Oryzias latipes: one gene and its partners. The protein of the gene in region 1 binds, or shares a complex with, the protein of each later gene. Links are inferred from orthologs where the notes say so. Each region holds a gene or a part of one and is shown in the gene's direction. Other genes may lie near its edges. The genes, in order: prpf8, lsm7 and tssc4.

Region 1 (3,652 bases):
GGCATTGCTCTGCTTTGGGCTCCCAGACCTTTCAACCTTCGTTCTGGCCGCACTCGGCGTGCCATTGACATCCCTCTCATCAAGAACTGGTAAGCTGATGGCTGTACAGTTTTAATACAATTCTGGATTTGGGTTGTATACAAAGCTAGATTTTACTTGAATAAAAATGTTGTAATTATTAAAATATTACACAGGTACAGAGAGCATTGTCCAGCAGGACAGCCCGTGAAGGTGCGTGTATCATATCAGAAGCTGCTGAAGTACTACGTCCTTAACGCTCTCAAACACAGACCACCAAAGGCACAGAAGAAGAGGTGAATACAGCTTTTTATTATTTGACTGATGGTTTTAAGACGTGTGTAGGTTTTTATATGTCTTTTCTGCTGTTTCCTTTCAGATATTTGTTCCGTTCCTTCAAAGCCACCAAGTTTTTCCAGTCTACAAAGCTGGACTGGGTGGAGGTGGGCCTGCAGGTGTGCAGACAGGGCTACAACATGCTCAATCTCCTTATCCACCGCAAGAACCTCAACTACTTGCATCTGGATTACAACTTCAACCTGAAGCCAGTCAAGACACTGACCACAAAGGTAAACCAACCTGAGCAAAGCTACTGAATGTTTAAATAATTTCAACATGAAATTTTATTATATATATACATATATTTTTTATTTTAATCCACAAAGCAATTTTCTCTGTTTCTGATTACACCAATTTTGATTTGTGGCTTTGTTGTTGTCCTCCAGGAGCGAAAGAAGTCCCGGTTTGGGAATGCCTTCCACCTGTGCAGAGAGGTGCTGCGCCTCAGTAAACTGGTGGTGGACAGCCATGTGCAGTACAGATTGGGAAATGTTGATGCTTTCCAGGTTAGTGTTTCAAATTTTGGGCCTTTTTCTTTTTAAAGGTATTTTTATTTTATTTTGTAGACAAAGAAAAAATATTTTGTTTTATGTGTTGGAAATATTAAAGACAGCACTTTAGCTTTATTAAGAAAAGTTTTGATAATTGACTTTTTTATTATTCATTGTGTTGTTTTCATAAACACAACTTTTGTTTGGTTTGGTTATGTTTATTAACTACAGACAAGTTCCAATTCCAATAATTAACTTCATTCCTTGCTTTTTGTTGCAGTTGTCTGATGGACTGCAGTACATCTTTGCCCATGTTGGACAGCTGACCGGCATGTACCGCTACAAGTACAAGCTGATGAGACAAATTAGGATGTGCAAAGACCTGAAGCATCTCATCTACTATCGGTTCAACACTGTGAGTATAAGCATGCTGTTCTTGTAGCCTTATTTTTGTCTCTTTTTAAAGTCCGTTTACTTGATTTACACAAACTCTATAAGACCCTCACATTGCAATAGCACCTAAAGGTAGTGCTTGTTATTCAATCAGGGCCCCGTGGGCAAGGGTCCCGGTTGTGGATTTTGGGCTCCTGGCTGGAGGGTTTGGCTCTTCTTCATGAGAGGCATTACTCCACTGTTGGAGAGATGGCTGGGAAATCTGTTGGCCAGGCAGTTTGAAGGTACGACGACATACTTCCACATTGTCTTTTTGAATTTCAGGTTCTGTTGTGCATTTATTATGATTCATAAATTCAATATCAGATTTATCTGATTTGTGTTTATCATGGTAGGACGTCACTCAAAGGGCGTTGCCAAGACTGTTACCAAGCAGCGTGTGGAGTCCCACTTTGACCTGGAGTTGCGTGCTGCGGTGATGCATGACATCCTTGACATGATGCCCGAGGGCATCAAACAGAACAAGGCCAGAACCATCCTGCAGCACCTCAGCGAGTCCTGGAGATGCTGGAAAGCAAACATTCCCTGGAAGGTCAGTGATGCACAGTCAACACATCTAAGAGGCTTTGTTTTATTGTTTGGAAACACACAAATATAATTGAAGCTTGGGCCGCCAGCTCACACAGCGGCTTTGGGGCAGTGAGCTTTTCATAGCAGAAATGCCGCTCAGTCCTTAGAAACCGTTCAAACAATCACTTGGATTTGTGTTTCCAGTCGTGTCCTGACAAAATAAAGACTGATGTTATTCCCACATATTTACGTGCAGCCAAGATGCAGATTGCAGCATTTCCCACGTGGATTTTGTGTTCATACAAAGCTAAATGTTGTTGGTAGCGCATGTTATTCTTCACCTAATTCTTCTTCCAGCTCTGTTCTTCCACAAAAATGCACTCACCACACAGATTAAAAATGAAATGAGCGAACAGGCGCTTCATAGTAACCATAACACTAATAACAGCAGGTTTAGAAGATCGTCTCGTATATTACAGAGCTGCTAAATAGATGTATGTATTCGCTCTGTTTGTTTACTGTGGGACTCATTTCCTCTTCCGGTATTGTCAACACTACTGCGCATGCCCAAATGATTTATTCCGACCGAAAGTGAGACCCATGTGAACGTTTGTTCTAATCAGAACATTTTTTTTGGGCCCATGTACACGGTTGAACTTTAATACGACCATTGATCCCATCAAGATATTTGGCGCCTGTAACCGCGGCTACTGTTTGAGGCTAGATCCTTGTAGCTAACTTTTATTTTGTTTAAGGTCACCTCTTATTTACTTTTTTTTCCCTCCCCACGAAAATGCCAGGTGCCCGGTCTTCCTACGCCCATCGAGAATATGATTCTCCGGTACGTAAAGGCCAAAGCTGACTGGTGGACCAACACGGCTCACTACAACCGTGAGCGAATTCGCAGAGGAGCCACTGTGGACAAGACGGTGTGCAAAAAGAACCTGGGCCGGCTGACACGTCTGTACCTGAAAGCCGAACAGGAACGACAGCACAACTACCTGAAGGTAACAAAAAACCACTCACATTTTATTTGTCACATACGATACATATAAATTCACAGAACAACCTTTTGAAAAAGGCTTTGTGCCACTGTCGGACCTTTTAAAATTCCACAGCTGTTTAAAAAAGGTTTTAAAAGAGATGCAGAGTGGACTAAATGTAGAAAGTAAAATATTACTGACTAAACTGTGATATGTAAAAAAACAAACAATTAAATGGAGTATAAAAATAAGATTCAATACAATATGAGTAAAAAAATCAAATGGATGTGAACTGGAATTAAATATATGTATCTTTCTGTAAAAATACACATAATAGACATGTTGGTAAGGACATGTAGCAGCTTTAAACCCCCATAAGATTGATATTGACAAAATAATAAATAAAAAAAACATAAAATTGACATGGTTGTAAAAATTTAAATGTCCAGATGCTGTTATAGTATATACAGTACACAACATAACGTGACCTCTTTCACACTGGAGATAAAACTCTTATTTAACCCTCCTGTCAGGAGTATGATTTAGATTTTTCTTTTAAATTGCTGACAAGATGAAAAACACATTCCGAAATATATATTTTTTCTAAATAAGAAAAAGTCCTCTTACAAAGGCGCTCTGGCATTGGTCTGCTTGTCTGTGCGTAAGAACAAGAGGAACATCAATGTGAACAGTTATTTTTATTGCTGGTTACAGATGCAGTTGGCCACTAACTGTTCAGACAATTTAATTCATCATTTGAAAAAGTACAATTAAAAGTGTTATAATTCTTAACCCATGAGTCTCAATCTAAAACATTTGACCTGCTTTAAACTTTTTTCCTAACTTTGTGTTCTGGTT
Region 2 (3,752 bases), on another chromosome or scaffold:
CCATCCACCCAGCGCTGATTTGAACATTCGTATATCTTCACCCAGTCCACACTGAACCACAGCACATCTCTGAAGTGGCCTCCAGTCACAACCACGTTGTTTCCTAAATGGAAAATACACCTTAAATTTACATTTATTTTATACATTTATAATGTAATATAATTTATACATTTATTTCACATTTGAGATTTCAAGAAAAGCATTCTCTTTAATCTTAATTGGATATTACCTACTGCAGCTACTGAGTACTGAGTTAGATTCTTCTGCTGCAAAGGTGCACAGCACTGCCATCTACCGCTCAGAGGGTGGAACTGATACAGTGCCTGCTGTTCCTGATCATGAGGCCCTCCCAGGACATAGAGAGTCTCTGTAGCTTTGGTCCGCCTCAAAGACCTGCCTACTGACCAAGAGGCTGGGAAGTGATCATTCAGCTTGCTGATGAGCCTTGCTCGAGGGTCAGAACCTTTCATTCTGGTCAGAAGTTGGGTAATAAATGCTAAGGAGAGAGACTCTGGTCTCACCAGCTCTATTAGCTCTAAAAAATGTTCTTCTCGTTTAGGATCAAACGAAACCCAGCGCAGGGTGGCTTCAAGCGCCACATCGTCTTTGTGGAGAGCCAGATCATCACTGGCAAGTAGATCAGCAATACTTTCCTTGGAAAGGGACAGAAAATCCTCTTCAGCTGAGACCGCAGGGAAGTGTGTGAGCACAACCTGCCGGGCTGCAGAATAAAGCTGAGAGCAGCCCAGTTGCCATGCATAGGCCATCATTCCTAAACAATTCGTGAGGTGTAGCTCGCGCTCCAAGAACTTGCAACACAGCAGTCTGGCTTTTTCTAGTTGTAGATAGTTTGCAGTCTCAAGAATCCCAAGAACATTTTCATGGTCCAAAGTCAGACGGCGAGTCTTGCTGTACTCTATCAAAACTTTGAAAGACTGTCGACCCACACCTTTGATCTCAACAAGCTTTTTGCGGCTTTCCACACCACAGCCAAAGAACAGAGCTCTGAAGTATGGACTCTGAAGGGCCAGGTGCTCCCGACAGACGTAAAAGTTCTCCTCCTCTACCCGTAGGACAGCATCTGGAATAAAATCCGGCCCAGGGTCTTCCACATGAAAAGCATATCCATCTTCGTCCATTGTGTTATCTAACTCATGGAAAAGATTGATTGAAGCTCTGAAACTTCACTTCAGTCACTGTAAAGAGTAAAACAAGTCTACTGCTTTGTCCTGTTTCTGGATCACAACTACGGTAGGTTCCCAACACACCAGCTGGTGTGTACTTTGTTTATTAATAGACGCCCCTGCCCGGAGAATGCAGTTAAGAAAGAGGTCAACTTTGAAAAGTAAAAGTTTTTTTAAAAATTACTATTAAAATACAATTATTTAGTAAAACTAAAGCTAAGAACATTTTTTTATTTTATTTTTTGAGTGCAAATAACTTCAGATGACGTCAGATGCGAGTTTACGGCGATGTGATTGGTGCTATTAAATTGTATCTGGGGTCAAAGTTTAACTTCCGGGTCACACTTCAAACATGGCGGTGAGTGCGAAATAATTTCGTTTAATTTTCTCTCTTATTGTTCACCGAACATTTTCTATTTGGTGTTAGTCAGTAATAGAATACTTGAGGAAATGAGAATAACATTTCTGAAGTAACGGCCGTTTTATTTGTGAAATTGTTACTGCCTTAGTCAGTGATGCTAAGCTAATGCTAGGCTAAGGGTCTGCGCCTTAAACTGTGCATTAATCTTGGAAACTGACATTTCTTTACAGGATAAAGAAAAGAAAAAGAAGGAGAGCATCTTTGACTTGTCCAAATACATCGACAAGCCAATTCGTGTGAAGTTTCAAGGAGGACGGGAGGGTAGGTGGCTTGTCGAAAGATTGTAACTTGTGGTGACCAGAATATTCACAGTGATGTCAGAATATAATTATTTACTTTGTTTATTCCCTCTTTAGCCAGCGGAGTTCTAAAAGGGTTCGATCCTCTATTGAACCTGGTGTTGGACGGTACAATTGAGTACATGCGTGGTAAGTGAAAACTCACGTGTACCCACTTTTCTTAATGGAGAACTAATAATTAAGTAGTTAGGAGTTATTTAGTCCATGGTTTACTGATACTGTTATGTGGACTCAGGCTGTGAGGTTCAAACTTTCTAATTCTTTTTCATTTCCAAAAATACTGTAACTCTTCTTTCAGTTAGAATATCAGCTTCACTCTTCAAACTGTTTTTTTAAGTAAATCAATTGTATTGATCTCCATTTAAAAAATGTAATATTTACTCATCAAAGCCGCAAGATTTTCTTTTTTTTTTTTAAACGATTTTCTCGTGCCTTCTCAGACAGGAGAAGCCAATCTGTTCGCCTTTATAATATTTACAATTTTTTGTATTTAAAGTTCTATTTTTCTTCAATTTATGAAAGTGACTATTCCCACATAATTTTCTAAATACGTAGAGCCGGTGCAGAACTTCTTTCTTGGCCTCACAGACCTGGAGGAATGGTTAGGGTTGGGTAAAACCACTAATGACTCTGATAAATGCATCTTTGCTGAACTTAATACGTGAATTTCCATCTGTTCTTGTGCAGTTTTTACTCGTAAATAAGTGTGAAAAACATCAGCGTTAATTTAATTCATCAGTTCTACAAAAGTGTGTATTTCTTAAAAACTAAAGCTTTAATAAAAATTGAAAAAAGTTAAATTGGAAATTAAAATGAGACTGAACTTTTTCAATAAACATTGATTTATTGTGCTGTAGTCTAAGACAGGTATTTTAGGACTTAATGTTTTGTTTTTAATCAAACTTTGAACTGCGTTTTCTAATCACAATTCCCCATCTTGAAAAAATGTCCTGTTTGTCATCATGAATGCATCATGTCTGCATCATGTCTCTAAAGATTCATAAAGAAGGTTATTCATATTTTTCAGAAAAACCATCAACAAGATGGACTTTTGTTTTCCAAATACATAACATGACCTCATTATTTCTTACTATGATGAGCATTCATGATGAAGACACATTAAAGTCGAGAGAAAATTAACACTAGCCCACTCTCTAATGCCGGATTAACAATGATTAATAAAGTAAACACATTTTAAACGTATATATAATTTGGCTGCATTAAAATGTCACAAAGAGCAGTTGGAGCTACTTTGATCGCCATGGCGAAAAACTGTTTTTTGTAAGAATGTTTTTTCTTCTAATTCTCCTTTCTAAATATTGTAACTTTTCTTTCAGTAAGAATTTCACCTTCACTCTTCAAACTAAGTAAATTAATTGTATTGATCTCCAGTTAAAAACTATAATAATAATTCATCAAACTCGCGTTTAATAACGATTAAAAACTTGGCGTGTTTTTCCGTAAACCAAAGTTTTTATCTCCCATTTGCATAGGTTCTAATAGGTCATTATCATATTCTGAAGCATTTCCTTAACATTAAGAGTCCACTAGCTAGAAAAAAATGTTTTTGTGTTTGAACTAATAACTCTTTGCATTGTAATATTGTTTTCCTCTAGTATCGGATCAACTGTGGACTCTTGTTCTGTTAAGCATTTGTCACATTTACTGACGGCAATAAAAATCTCTTTAAATGTACAAAAACTGCAACATAAAGATGAACATCCTCTGGCATTTACAATCCCTTTGTGTGTCTGTGTGCAGATCCAGACGACCAGCTGAAGCTGACAGAAGACACCAGGCAGCTGGGGCTGGTGGTCTGCAGAGGAACCTCCGTCGTCCTGATCTGTC
Region 3 (3,752 bases), on another chromosome or scaffold:
GCAGCTCTTTCTACACCGTCGTGGGTGTTTTGCATGATTGTACTGTAATATAACCGCCTCCATGCGAGCGTTGGGGTCCCCCGTTACCCAGCATGTAGTCCTGGTACGCCTTGAACCTCTCGTAGAACAGCAGGCTGCCGGTCTGGAAGGTGTCCGGCAGAGTCGCTCCTGACCGCCGCTCCGACCTCTGCAGCTGCGTCCCCGACCTCTCAGAGTTCTGGTGGTCTGTCCCGCTGTCGTCGTCGTCATCCTCGTCTTCGTCACTGACGTCTCCAGCATCATCGTTCTGGAACAGAGCTGCAGAACCCAGCGGAGGTCATGAATGATGGCTGTGAAAGTTTGTCCAGCGCCACTTTTCAAAATAAAAGACTGTTAATGCTTTTTTAAACTTTGAAGGACTTTAAAAAAAATGTTTGCATTGATTTAACTCATTTATAAAGTTATTTTGCTATTTTAAAAAATATGCTTTCAACTCTAATTTTAATAATAATTTCATAGGCATTTTAAATGTTATTTTTGTCCTTAATTGCTGTATTTTTAGTAAGTTAACAGGTTTTAAGGCTTTTTCCGGTCCTCCTGTGTCAAAATCCTCATGAAAGCAGATATTTTCTCTTCTCTTTTATTTAACAATCTGTTAAACAACTTCATAGAATCAACAAAAGAGTCACAAATACTGTGTCTACATACACAAATAAATGAATTTATTTACACCCCCGTTTTCCAGGTGTCAAACTCCAGGCCTCGAGGGCCGGTGTCCTACATGTTGTCCAACCAACCTGCCATGAAGCACACCTGATCCAGGTAATCAGTAGCAGATAAGGCAGGATATCTTAAAAAAAAAAAAAGAAACAGTCTGACACCCCTTTTGCGGTCTTCTATAGGTATATTTTGTTTTTGTAATAACATAATTGTGTTATTTGTTTATTTCAACATCCGTTAATGTCTACTCAGATGAGAGTGAAATATAATTATTTGTCGTATTTGGGTTAAGTTTGGAAAATCCTGCAAGATTGACAGTTCCGAGAATGCAGCTCAGGCTGACGACATATGAAGACGCTGCGTTCACAGACCGCCGGAAACTCGGATAAAAAGTCTGCTAAATCTCCAAGCTAGCAAACCTCGACGGCAGCGGTTAGCTTGTCTCATACACCGACTCGGAGGAAAGAAAACTCAAACCAAAAACGGTAACGTAACAAACCTTGCGCTACATCCAATAAACCGGGTCCCGCGGAGCAAACGCTGTCCGTCTCGACCTGAGGATCCAGATCGACCACCACCAAGTCCGACACGTCGCTGACGGTACACCCGGTTTCCAGGGCTTCGAACTCCATTGAAACGCTCGCCAGAGTCTCGGTTTAACGGGATTAAATGAGGATCACGCGGCACTTGGAGCTTTGAAACAACAAGCGGAGTTCTGAGCCCACGCCCTGACACTTTCAAAAGATCCCGGTCTGCTGCAGCTCAGCCAATCACAGCAGGGAGCTATATAAAGACCCGCCCTTGTTTTTTTACATGCGCGGATCGGCTCGGTCTGCAGTACCACAGGACAATCGTTAGGGGGCAGTAATGACGTAAACATTACACGATCTACCGTAGAAGAAGAGGGTTTCGGCCGGCGGTCTGCGCTATTTCAAAGGTACAAACGGGATTTAAGTCAAAACTACGCGTATTATATAAATATTTGTCATGTAAACAACAGCGCATTTCGCAGCTCTTTTCGGCTAGACAGCATTTTTGTTTTGTTTATAAGCATTTGTAACGTTGTTAGCATGTCGCGCTACTACTAGCATCGTGCTACTTAGCATGCTAACTAACTTCAGTCTGAATCTTGTTTTTACGAAGTCAATATTCCGAGTTATTTTTATTTTTATTGCCAATCTTTTTAAATAAAATCAAAACAAAAGCTTTAGTTTTTTAGGCACAAAAAAAATTCATATATGAGATGAAACAGATGTTTTAATTCATGCGCTGTTAAGGCTGATGATCATGATGATGTTATTATTGTTGTTCGCACGTATTTTTACTAGAAAACAAAGTTATGGAAAACATATTTAAAGTTAAAATCCCATTAACTGTGAGAAAATTGTACTTTGATCCTGGAGGAGCGGAGAGCTGCAGAAACAGCCGCTCAGGAACCAGGGGGGTATTTTCTTTATTTTTAGCTTTTTTTTTAATTGAAAAAACACTTGAGGTTTACAATTTGTAACAATTGTATACAATTATGACAAGTATAGAAAAGTAGAAAAAGTACAGGACATGAACAAACAACATAGGCAGGATAAAATAAAAATATAACAATAATACCGAAAAAAAATTAAATAAAAGAAATTAAAATAAAAAGGGGGTCACATAGACATTTTAATGATTCTTGACTTGGGGGGTTCTCAAAAAGCTGCAAGTTACATATAATACTTTGAAGTTCCATAGCAAGTTTGATTTCCATGAAGTTTGCAGATGAAAAAAAGAGCAGAGTTCTTTATGAAATGTAAAAGAATATGGTTGGATTTCAAGGAATTGACATTTATGTATATAGAATTTACCCAAAATAATTACAACATTTAAAATAAGTTCTGTGTTTTTTTGTTTTTTAAATTAAACCCAAAAATGATGTCCTTAATAGAAAAGTCTGCTAAATGTGGGATTTGGGGGAAAAGCCAATAATTCCAAAAGACATTAGAGTCAAAACATTCAAAGAAAAGATGCTCAGTTGTTTCAATGTCATCATGACAAAAAGAACAGCAGTTTTCAGGAATTCCAAACCGTTTTCTTAGTAATTCCTTGGAAGGGTAAAATACCTGAAAAGGTTTTAAAATTGACTTCCTTGGCTTTAGGAGGGATGGGGAGTTTGAAATATTTGGTTCGTATTTGTTTCTTTTCTGAATTATTGAAATATTGGGTTATATAATTTGAATTTGAGATGTAGGGAAAGGACGTTTCATTCAAATATTCTCTGATTTGATGGTTGGGGAGTTTGAGTTAGGGTTACCAAGTCCAGCGTAATTACACTAACTCAAATCTGGTCATACCGACATACCCAGAGTAAGCAAGTTCAGGCGGATTTCAGCCAGAGTTCAGGCTTAAAGTCAGGCTAGTTTAAACGTGCTTCCTGGATACCTGCCTGAACTTACCGAAATCCTAACCTTGACCCTTCCTGTGGGTCCGTGCAGCCAATGACAACGTTCAGCACTGGCTGCACGTGCGCATTCTTGTAATTATTGACCTTTTATTGGGTCATTATTTCAAAACATTTATTTCAAGTTTGTTTTGAATTGAACAGAATTAGGACTTAAATAATTATGCTTGCTTTTAAAATGGATGTAAACATAGAGGATCATTATTATTTTACAGGTTATTTCCAAAACCCTCATATTTACTGTTGGATGCTCGGTGGTCCGTCCTCACAGGTCCTAGCAGCTTGTTGTTGTTTTGGTAGATGTTAAAACCAGTCCATGCAGGTTTGATGGGGTGGCCTGACCTTTGGTGTCTTCCTCTACAGTTTTGGGGTTCCCACCTGACCGGGTTTGTCTTCCTCGCGGCTCGGGGTTCGGCTGCAGCCGCGGCTGAAGATGTCGCAGCAGAAATGCGTCCAGAGCTGCGGCGACGACCAAGAAGGCTTTGAGCTGTCGGCCAGTGACGAGTCGGAGCCCGAGGAAGAGCTGAGCCGGGCGCCCTTTGACCCGGAGCTGGATGACAGCGACGACGGGGGCGAGGAGGCGTGCGCTCTCGGCGCCACCCGCTCAACTGCGAGCACG

What was found.
Region 2: prpf8 (region 1) and lsm7 share a complex: the UniProt entries of both Homo sapiens proteins name them as parts of the U4/U6-U5 tri-snRNP complex. The link is inferred for Oryzias latipes from reciprocal best matches to the Homo sapiens genes PRPF8 and LSM7.
Region 3: the proteins of prpf8 (region 1) and tssc4 are in contact, whole or in part, in a cryo-EM structure (PDB 7PX3), measured with the Homo sapiens proteins. The link is inferred for Oryzias latipes from reciprocal best matches to the Homo sapiens genes PRPF8 and TSSC4. Residues at the interface, in NP_006436.3 of Homo sapiens: Thr2087, Asn2088, His2089, Ile2090, Tyr2091, Val2092, Ser2093, Ser2094, Asp2095, Lys2108, Leu2111, Lys2112, Glu2184, Thr2219, Pro2220, Thr2224, Leu2225, Leu2262, Leu2263; in NP_001284587.1 of Homo sapiens: Pro153, Asp154, Tyr155, Glu160, Arg161, Trp162, Thr163, Lys164, Tyr165, Ser166, Leu167.

The regions. Positions count from the first base shown.
Region 1 is NC_019871.2:16,917,372-16,921,023, forward strand, and holds part of prpf8 (pre-mRNA-processing-splicing factor 8), read left to right. Parts: coding exon 1-89; intron 90-194; coding exon 195-314; intron 315-397; coding exon 398-587; intron 588-743; coding exon 744-863; intron 864-1,128; coding exon 1,129-1,263; intron 1,264-1,395; coding exon 1,396-1,525; intron 1,526-1,636; coding exon 1,637-1,833; intron 1,834-2,611; coding exon 2,612-2,818; intron 2,819-3,652. UniProt on the Homo sapiens protein: Plays a role in pre-mRNA splicing as core component of precatalytic, catalytic and postcatalytic spliceosomal complexes, both of the predominant U2-type spliceosome and the minor U12-type spliceosome.
Region 2 is NC_019862.2:8,273,160-8,276,911, reverse strand, and holds the start of lsm7 (U6 snRNA-associated Sm-like protein LSm7), read left to right. Parts: upstream 1-1,429; 5' UTR 1,430-1,536; coding exon 1,537-1,542; intron 1,543-1,775; coding exon 1,776-1,866; intron 1,867-1,961; coding exon 1,962-2,033; intron 2,034-3,665; coding exon 3,666-3,752. Other genes in the region: kelch-like protein 24, read right to left, coding at 1-103, 230-1,139. UniProt on the Homo sapiens protein: Plays a role in pre-mRNA splicing as component of the U4/U6-U5 tri-snRNP complex that is involved in spliceosome assembly, and as component of the precatalytic spliceosome (spliceosome B complex).
Region 3 is NC_019861.2:37,264,882-37,268,633, reverse strand, and holds the start of tssc4 (protein TSSC4), read left to right. Parts: upstream 1-1,539; 5' UTR 1,540-1,636; intron 1,637-3,496; 5' UTR 3,497-3,566; coding exon 3,567-3,752. Other genes in the region: shcbp1 (SHC SH2 domain-binding protein 1), read right to left, coding at 88-297, 1,199-1,331. UniProt on the Homo sapiens protein: Protein associated with the U5 snRNP, during its maturation and its post-splicing recycling and which is required for spliceosomal tri-snRNP complex assembly in the nucleus.